Linked DNA regions of Cricetulus griseus. The protein of the gene in region 1 purifies or fractionates together with the protein of each later gene. This does not show direct contact. Links are inferred from orthologs where the notes say so. Each region holds a gene or a part of one and is shown in the gene's direction. Other genes may lie near its edges.

Evidence for each region. The genes of interacting proteins can lie anywhere in the genome.
Region 2: the proteins of Ubqln2 (region 1) and Psmd2 purify together in Homo sapiens (affinity purification with mass spectrometry, with the first as the bait; 3 studies listed by BioGRID). This does not show direct contact. The link is inferred for Cricetulus griseus from reciprocal best matches to the Homo sapiens genes UBQLN2 and PSMD2.

Annotation. Positions count from the first base shown.
Region 1 is NC_048604.1:111,414,178-111,418,559, forward strand, and holds the start of Ubqln2 (ubiquilin-2), read left to right. Parts: upstream 1-1,489; 5' UTR 1,490-1,762; coding exon 1,763-3,706; 3' UTR 3,707-4,382. UniProt on the Homo sapiens protein: Plays an important role in the regulation of different protein degradation mechanisms and pathways including ubiquitin-proteasome system (UPS), autophagy and the endoplasmic reticulum-associated protein degradation (ERAD) pathway.
Region 2 is NC_048597.1:67,989,498-67,993,145, reverse strand, and holds part of Psmd2 (26S proteasome non-ATPase regulatory subunit 2), read left to right. Parts: intron 1-317; coding exon 318-439; intron 440-571; coding exon 572-796; intron 797-1,061; coding exon 1,062-1,220; intron 1,221-1,392; coding exon 1,393-1,537; intron 1,538-1,708; coding exon 1,709-1,769; intron 1,770-2,159; coding exon 2,160-2,306; intron 2,307-2,436; coding exon 2,437-2,543; intron 2,544-3,252; coding exon 3,253-3,380; intron 3,381-3,610; coding exon 3,611-3,648. UniProt on the Homo sapiens protein: Component of the 26S proteasome, a multiprotein complex involved in the ATP-dependent degradation of ubiquitinated proteins.

The DNA of each region.
Region 1 (4,382 bases):
TTTTATTCAAGGCCTGCATTTTGTTTTATACTGAGATTTATTGAGGTACTTGTGACGTAATGATTTTGAAATGCTGTTAAATTATCTCTAGGTTTTTGTACGGGAAAAATGATTTTCTGTGGTTAAAGCAGGAGAAATTAATACATGCTTTTGAAAGGATTTATTTTATGATTCATGTTCTCTTTATCAGTAATACTACATTGTTATTTCCTTTACTCAGTAATGCAAAAGATAAATAGGTTAATCTTTGCCACCACTATTGTCTGGCTGTCAGTTTTTACCTACATTCTTGTCTGGAAATATATTTGTTGTTTTTAAAAATTATAAATGCAATGCATACTTATCCATCAAATTGAAAATCTGATAAAAATAGAAAATAAGAATTATTCACAATTTCAGCTCTAATTGTTACCTTTACTGGAGTACAGCCTTTCAGATTTCTTTTCCACACAGGCTACTAGCTTTTTGATCAATATCTACATGCCTGTATTGTTTCCATTTGTTTAGAAAAAATATTAACCCATATTAAATACCATCTATTATTTTCTCGTCACTACAGTGCATTTTGATGTACACTTTTAGAGACACTTAATATTACATGAATTAGCCACCATCTTTTAGATACAGGGATTATTTTATTGTATGGCACTATCGTAGTATGTTTGAGTAATTCTATGTTTTACACACACATTGAAAATATCTAAACACTGTTTTTAAATGCTACGTTATTAATATACATCATAATATGCTTTTTTGAATCGATTAGGTATTTCTAAACAAAGGTGCAAATATTCAAAATGTTCATTTGTATTTTCAAACTGCCGTATTACAATTCATACTACAACTAGCATGAGAGTGCATTTTCTCGGCTCCTGGTCAACAAGATTTAACATTCTCTTTCATCTTTGCAAATATGATAAAGTCGAAGTAAAATCTCATTGTTTTTATTTGAATCCCTTTGATTAATAGCGAGCACAATCATATTTTAGAAGCCTGCTGGCCGTTTTTTCGCTTCTTTTGTAAAATGCTCGCTCCCGCCATGCCTGCCCTTCCCCCATCCGGGTGTTCGTTTTCCCTTTTTGCTTTGTCAGAGTTCTTTACTATTCATTTTTCGTCCTTTGCATGGGATCGGTTCAATTCAGGCTTTCATCCTTTCACTGCCTCCCAGATTGCGAACCCACATTCTCCATTGGTCTTTCAGGGGCTGCTAAAGAAGCTGCCTCCCTCTTCCTCCTCCCGGCCTCCTCCCTTCCCCCTCTCCTCGCCTCGCCTCGCCTCGCCTCGCCTCGCCCGGGTCCCCTCGCTTTCTCTTCCAGCCTCCTTCTCTTCCCCCTCTCTTTGTTTATTTCTCTCTCCCTCCTTTCCCCCCCTCTGCAGGCCAGGAGTTTTGCACTCGGCCGAGCGACTGTGGCTGGGCTGGCGCCGCGTCAGCAGGGGGCGGGGCCGGGCCGGGGCGGGGCGGGGCGGGAGCGCGGGCACCGCAGCTGCAGGAGTTGCTGGGAGTGCGCGCGGACAGATCACAAGGCGGCGGCGGAGAAGGCCTGGAGACCTGCTCGCTCAGCGCTCGGCCGCGGCCTACGCCAAACCCTGTGCGCATCCGACTACCGGGAGCTGCAGCCTCCATTCATCTCCGAGGTACTGTGTTCCGCACTGCTCGCGGGGCCGCCCAGTCCTCTGCTGCGGCGCCTCCTTCCTTCCTCTTTCCCTCGCGCCCTCTCGCTCGCCAGCGCCTTCCCTGCCAGCCTGCGTCACCGCGGCCGCCATGGCTGAGAACGGCGAGAGCAGCGGCCCCCCGCGCCCCTCCCGCGGCCCTGCCGCTGCGGCCCAAGGCGAGGCCACCGAGCCAGCCGAGCCCAAAATCATCAAAGTCACTGTGAAGACCCCCAAAGAGAAAGAGGAGTTCGCGGTGCCCGAGAATAGCACCGTCCAGCAGTTTAAGGAAGCGATTTCTAAACGCTTCAAATCGCAAATCGATCAGCTCGTGCTGATTTTTGCCGGAAAAATCTTGAAAGATCAAGATACCTTGATGCAGCATGGCATCCATGATGGACTGACTGTTCACCTTGTCATCAAAAACCAGAACCGCCCTCAGAGCCAGTCCACCACGCAGCCTAGCACCACTGCGGGAACATGCACGACCACCACCACCACCACGGCCGCAACAGCGCCAGGGGCGCCAACGGCGCCAGCGTCGACAACGGCTCCCAGGAGTCTCTCCACACCTTCTCTCACGAATAACAATCCGTTTGCGTCGGGGACCCTGGGAGGACTTGCTAGCCTTAGCAGCCTGGGTCTGAACTCGACCAGCTTCACTGAGCTTCAGAACCATATGCAGCAGCAGCTCATGGCTAGCCCTGAGATGATGATCCAGATCATGGAAAATCCCTTTGTTCAGAGCATGCTTTCGAATCCTGATCTGATGAGGCAGCTCATTATGGCCAATCCGCAGATGCAACAACTGATCCAGAGAAACCCAGAGATCAGTCACCTACTGAACAACCCAGATATAATGAGGCAGACTCTCGAAATCGCCAGGAATCCTGCCATGATGCAAGAGATGATGAGAAATCAAGACCTGGCTCTCAGTAATCTCGAAAGCATCCCAGGTGGCTACAATGCTCTGCGGCGCATGTACACTGACATTCAAGAGCCCATGCTGAATGCCGCACAGGAGCAGTTTGGGGGTAACCCCTTTGCCACGGTGGGGAGCAGTTCCTCAGGGGAGGGCACCCAGCCTTCCCGCACAGAAAACCGGGATCCACTGCCCAATCCTTGGGCACCAACGCCAGCTACCCAGGGCTCTCCGACCAACACCACGACCACAAGCAGTGGCACTATGCCTGGCGGTAGCTCCTCTAGTAGCACCTTCGGGAACACCATGGCGGCAGCTAATTATGTTGCTAGCATCTTTAGTACACCAGGAATGCAGAACCTGCTGCAACAGATAACTGAAAATCCCCAGCTGATTCAGAATATGCTGTCTGCACCCTACATGAGAAGCATGATGCAGTCGCTGAGCCAGAATCCAGATTTGGCTGCCCAGATGATGATGAGTAGCCCACTGTTTGCTTCAAATCCTCAGCTGCAAGAGCAGATGCGTCCACAGCTCCCGAATTTCCTGCAGCAGATGCAGAATCCAGACACGCTTGCGGCCATGTCAAATCCGAGAGCGATGCAAGCGTTAATGCAGATCCAGCAGGGGCTACAGACACTAGCCACTGAAGCACCTGGCCTCATTCCAAGCTTCGCTCCAGGTGTGGGGGTGGGAGTCCTGGGAACCACCATAACCCCTGTGGGCCCAGTCACTCCCATAGGGCCCATGGGTCCTATAGTTCCTTTCACCCCCATAGGCCCTATTGGGCCTATAGGACCCACTGGCCCTGCAAGCTCTCCTGGATCCACCGGCACTGGGGTCCCCCCTGCAACCACTGTGAGCAGCTGTGCAGCTACTGATACCATCAGTCCGACAATGGAAACTTTACCCAGCCCGCAGTTCATTCATCAGATGGTGCAGGCTCTGGCAGGAGGAGGAGCAGGACCAACTCCTGCCCAGATGGCGAGTGCAGAAATGAGATTTCAGCAGCAACTGGAACAGCTCAACGCCATGGGGTTCATAAATCGTGAAGCAAACTTGCAGGCCCTAATAGCAACAGGAGGCGACATCAATGCGGCCATTGAGAGGCTGCTGGGCTCTCAGCCATCGTAATTACATTTCTGTACCTTGAAAAAATGTATCTTATTTTTGATAATGGCTCTTAAATCTTTAAACACACAAAATTGTGCTTTACTTTTATTTTGATTCTTTTAAATCTGTCTACTTATAAATCTAAAAGGATGCATTTTAAGGTGGAGTCCCTCCCTTCTTTCCCTTCCTGCTCCTCCTCCTCCCGCCACCCTCCCTCCCACCCTCTCTCTCCCTTCCCTTCCAGCCTGCCCTCTCCCCTCTTTGTTTCCTTCCCTCCCTTCTTCTTTCCTTCCTTTTCTTCTTTGGATTTCCTTCCTTCTCTGATTTGAATGGTGGGGATCAATGCTGTTTCACTCAAAGGTGTTGCATGCAAACACTTCTCTTTATTCTGCATTTATTGTGATTTTTGGAAACAGGTATCAGCCTTCACAGTTGGGTGAACAAGTTCTGTCCTACAGATGTCCAGTTTATTTGCATTTTAAACATTAGCCTATGATAGTAATTTAATGTAGAATGGAGATATTAAAAAAGAAGCAAATTATTTGAAGCTCTCTAATTTGTGGTAAAATATTGCTTATTGTGACTTTGGCATGTATTTTTGCTAGCAAATGCTGTAAGATTTATACCATTCATTGGTTGTTTTTGCTATTATTTGTACACAGTACAGTAAGCACAATTGGAGTTGTACATCTAGAAG
Region 2 (3,648 bases), on another chromosome or scaffold:
CATTTCTTGAGGCCAAACTAAGTGATATAATGAGAACCAGTGTCTCCATAAATTCAAGCTCAGGAGCCTTTATCTTTCTTTGATTCTACATTGCTTATTGCCCTTCAGTTAGGTTGGCTTTGGAGGGAGCTAGCAACACCAACTTTAGGTTTTCTTTGAGACTTAGCTTAGATCACATGGAAATTTTCAGTATAGAAACAAGTATATTGTGAATTTTATTGGTGAACTTTGGGGACAGTGATCTTACTTGTGTATTGTCACATACTGTTTTCCTTGAACTGTTGGGTTTTGCCTTAAAAAGATTGGTTTCTTTACAGTGTTTTGCTGCTGACATCATATCTGTTTTGGCCATGACCATGAGTGGTGAGCGTGAATGCCTCAAGTATCGGCTAGTGGGCTCCCAGGAGGAATTGGCATCATGGGGTCATGAGTATGTCAGGTAAGGTAGTTTCTTCTTGGGAACGTGAAGGACTTGTAGGCACAATTCTGTTGGTTTGGGAAAATAGCAATGCATTCAATTCCCCAGAGTCTCCCAGGGACCTGCTTCCCTAATGATTGTGTTTGTCCATAGACATCTGGCAGGAGAAGTGGCTAAGGAGTGGCAGGAGCTGGATGATGCAGAGAAAGCGCAGCGGGAACCACTGCTTACCTTGGTGAAGGAGATTGTCCCCTACAATATGGCTCATAACGCGGAGCATGAGGCTTGTGACCTGCTCATGGAAATTGAGCAAGTAGACATGCTGGAGAAGGACATAGATGAGAACGCGTACTCAAAGGTCTGCCTCTATCTCACCAGGTAGGCGAGCATGGCACAGGGCGGCAGCAGGCTTGCCTTCTAAAGCACTGCTTTCATTTTGCCTCTTCTCCCAGAGGATCTTAGGGTCACCTTAGGCTATAGTCACTTGCTGATGCCATGAATTTCTTGAGGACAGAAACTTTGTATCTCCTTAACTATCTTGAAACATAGTACCTTGGAACATGCATTTAGTATATATTTGAATAAAGGAATTAAATAAATGAAATGCACTTTCTGAATTTTTATCTCTTTTGCCTTTTTGTAGTTGTGTGAATTATGTACCAGAACCTGAGAACTCTGCCCTACTGCGCTGTGCCTTGGGTGTGTTCCGAAAGTTCAGCCGTTTCCCTGAAGCTCTGAGATTGGCATTGATGCTCAATGATATGGAACTGGTGGAAGACATTTTCACCTCCTGCAAGGATGTGTACGTAGAGAAGTTGGTAAAGGAAGAGATAAGTTTGTGCATGAGCATTTGTGTGAAAATCAGGGACTTGACAGTTTCTGGTGGGAGCACAGGACACTTTTCTGTCCCACGGTAGGTGAGAATGAGCAGGTGTGTAGGTGAGAATGAGCAGATGTGATGGCTTTCCTCACAGGGTGGTACAGAAGCAGATGGCATTCATGCTGGGTCGCCATGGAGTCTTCCTGGAGCTGAGTGAAGATGTAGAGGAGTATGAAGACCTCACAGAAATCATGTCCAATGTACAGCTCAACAGCAACTTCTTGGCCTTAGCTCGGGAGGTGAGATTCTCTGCTCTTGACCTAAAGCTTTTGTTGAAATTCTACCTGTCATTCTGTCTCCCTAATACCTTTCACTAGACTCCTGGTTAAAGTTGTTACTCATTTGGGCAGCAGAAGGGACAGCTAGGGGAATACTGGGGAGGCAGTTGTGACCCTCTGGCTTCTTTTTAGCTGGACATTATGGAGCCCAAGGTACCTGATGACATCTACAAAACACACCTAGAGAATAACAGTGAGTAGCTCTGTGTGTGGGTTGGAGGGACTATTGCATTGGGAATAATGGCTTGGCTAAACCACTATAAAGAACTTCAAATTCCCATGAACTTATGTCCAGGACACTGTTGGAGACTTAGACTATGGGACTAACTTAAAATCAGAGACTCAGGCTGGGTAGTGGTGGCAAATACCTTTCATCCCAGAACTTGCTAGAGGCAGAGGCAGCAGATCTCTTAAGTTCAAGGCCAGCTTGGTCTATAGAAGTTCCAGATACTCAGGGCTTCACAGAGAAACCCTGTCCTGGAAAACAAAACAGAAAAACAAAAACAAAATCAGGGACTGCCTACCAGGTTGTGTTCCTTTCAGGTCCTATGCTAAACTGCCTCTTCTATATCCCCTTGTACAGGGTTTGGTGGCAGTGGCTCTCAGGTGGACTCTGCCCGAATGAACCTGGCCTCCTCTTTTGTGAATGGCTTTGTGAACGCAGCCTTTGGTCAAGATAAACTGCTGACTGATGATGGCAACAAATGGCTTTACAAGAACAAGGACCATGGTATAATTTTCTCTTTTTGTCATAAAGTCAGGTGTTACTTGAGAAGGACCCACAGTACAGTTTCCAGGGGACTCCTTTATAAGTTCCTTTGGGTAGGCCTTTCTAAAACTGATAGTCTTCCTTGTCATAGGGATGTTAAGTGCTGCTGCGTCCCTTGGCATGATTCTGCTGTGGGATGTGGATGGTGGCCTCACCCAGATTGACAAGTACCTGTACTCCTCTGAGGACTATATCAAGGTTAGTCTGGGCAAAGCTAATTCACTGTGGACTTTTTCTTCTCATGTTCTTCTCATGTGCGCCCCCCCCCCCCTTATGAGGTGGCTTAGTTACTTTCTATCTCTGTGAAGAGACTCAATGACCAAGACAACTTACTAAGTATTTTAGCTGGACAGTGGTGGTACATGCCTTTAATCCCAGCACTGGGGAGGCAGAGGCAGGTGGATCTCTGTAAATTTGAGGTCAGCCTGGTCTACAGAGCAGGTTCCAGGACAGCTAGGGCTACAGAGAAACCTTTTTTCTAAAAAACAAAAGAAAAAAGAAAAGAAAGTATTTAGTTGGGGGCTTGCTTATAGTTTCAGAAAGTCAGCCCATAAACATCATTGTGGAGAGCATGGCAACAGCAGGCAGGAATGGTGCTGGAGCAGTAGCTGAGAGCTCACATCTTATCTGCACGTGGGAGACAGGCACTGGTCCTGTCCTGGGCTTTTGAAGCCTTGAAGCGCACCTCCAGTGACACACTTCCTCCAATAAATCCACACCTTCTAATCCTACCCAGAACAATTCGACCAACTAGGGACCAAGCATTCAAATATGTCAGTCTATGAGGACCATTCTCAGTTCAAACCACCACCTGAGTCATGCCCAGTTTTTCACCCCAGGTAAGGCAGGTGCCACAGAGAGGTCCTGCTGCACACTTTGTAGTTAAGAGTCTGCTTGCTCTTTGCAGTCAGGAGCTCTCCTTGCCTGTGGGATCGTGAACTCTGGGGTCCGGAATGAGTGTGACCCTGCCCTGGCACTGCTTTCAGATTATGTTCTCCATAACAGCAATACCATGAGACTTGGTTCCATCTTTGGGTAAGGTTTCCTGCTGCTCTTTCCTTATTTATTTTTAAATTCTTAGATTTCTGAGACTGCTTCTCTTTCTGTTAGTGCTCAGCTTATAAACTCTAGAGAAGTCATTGCCAAAGACTACCATTTGCCATTAAGTATCTGGCTCTTGGTGAATGTGTTGGTGATCGGTTCTATTTTTGTTGTTTTTTGCTGTGTCCCTGACACAGCTGGGGCTTTATCTCCTGACTTTGTAGTCTAGGCTTGGCTTATGCTGGCTCCAATCGGGAAGATG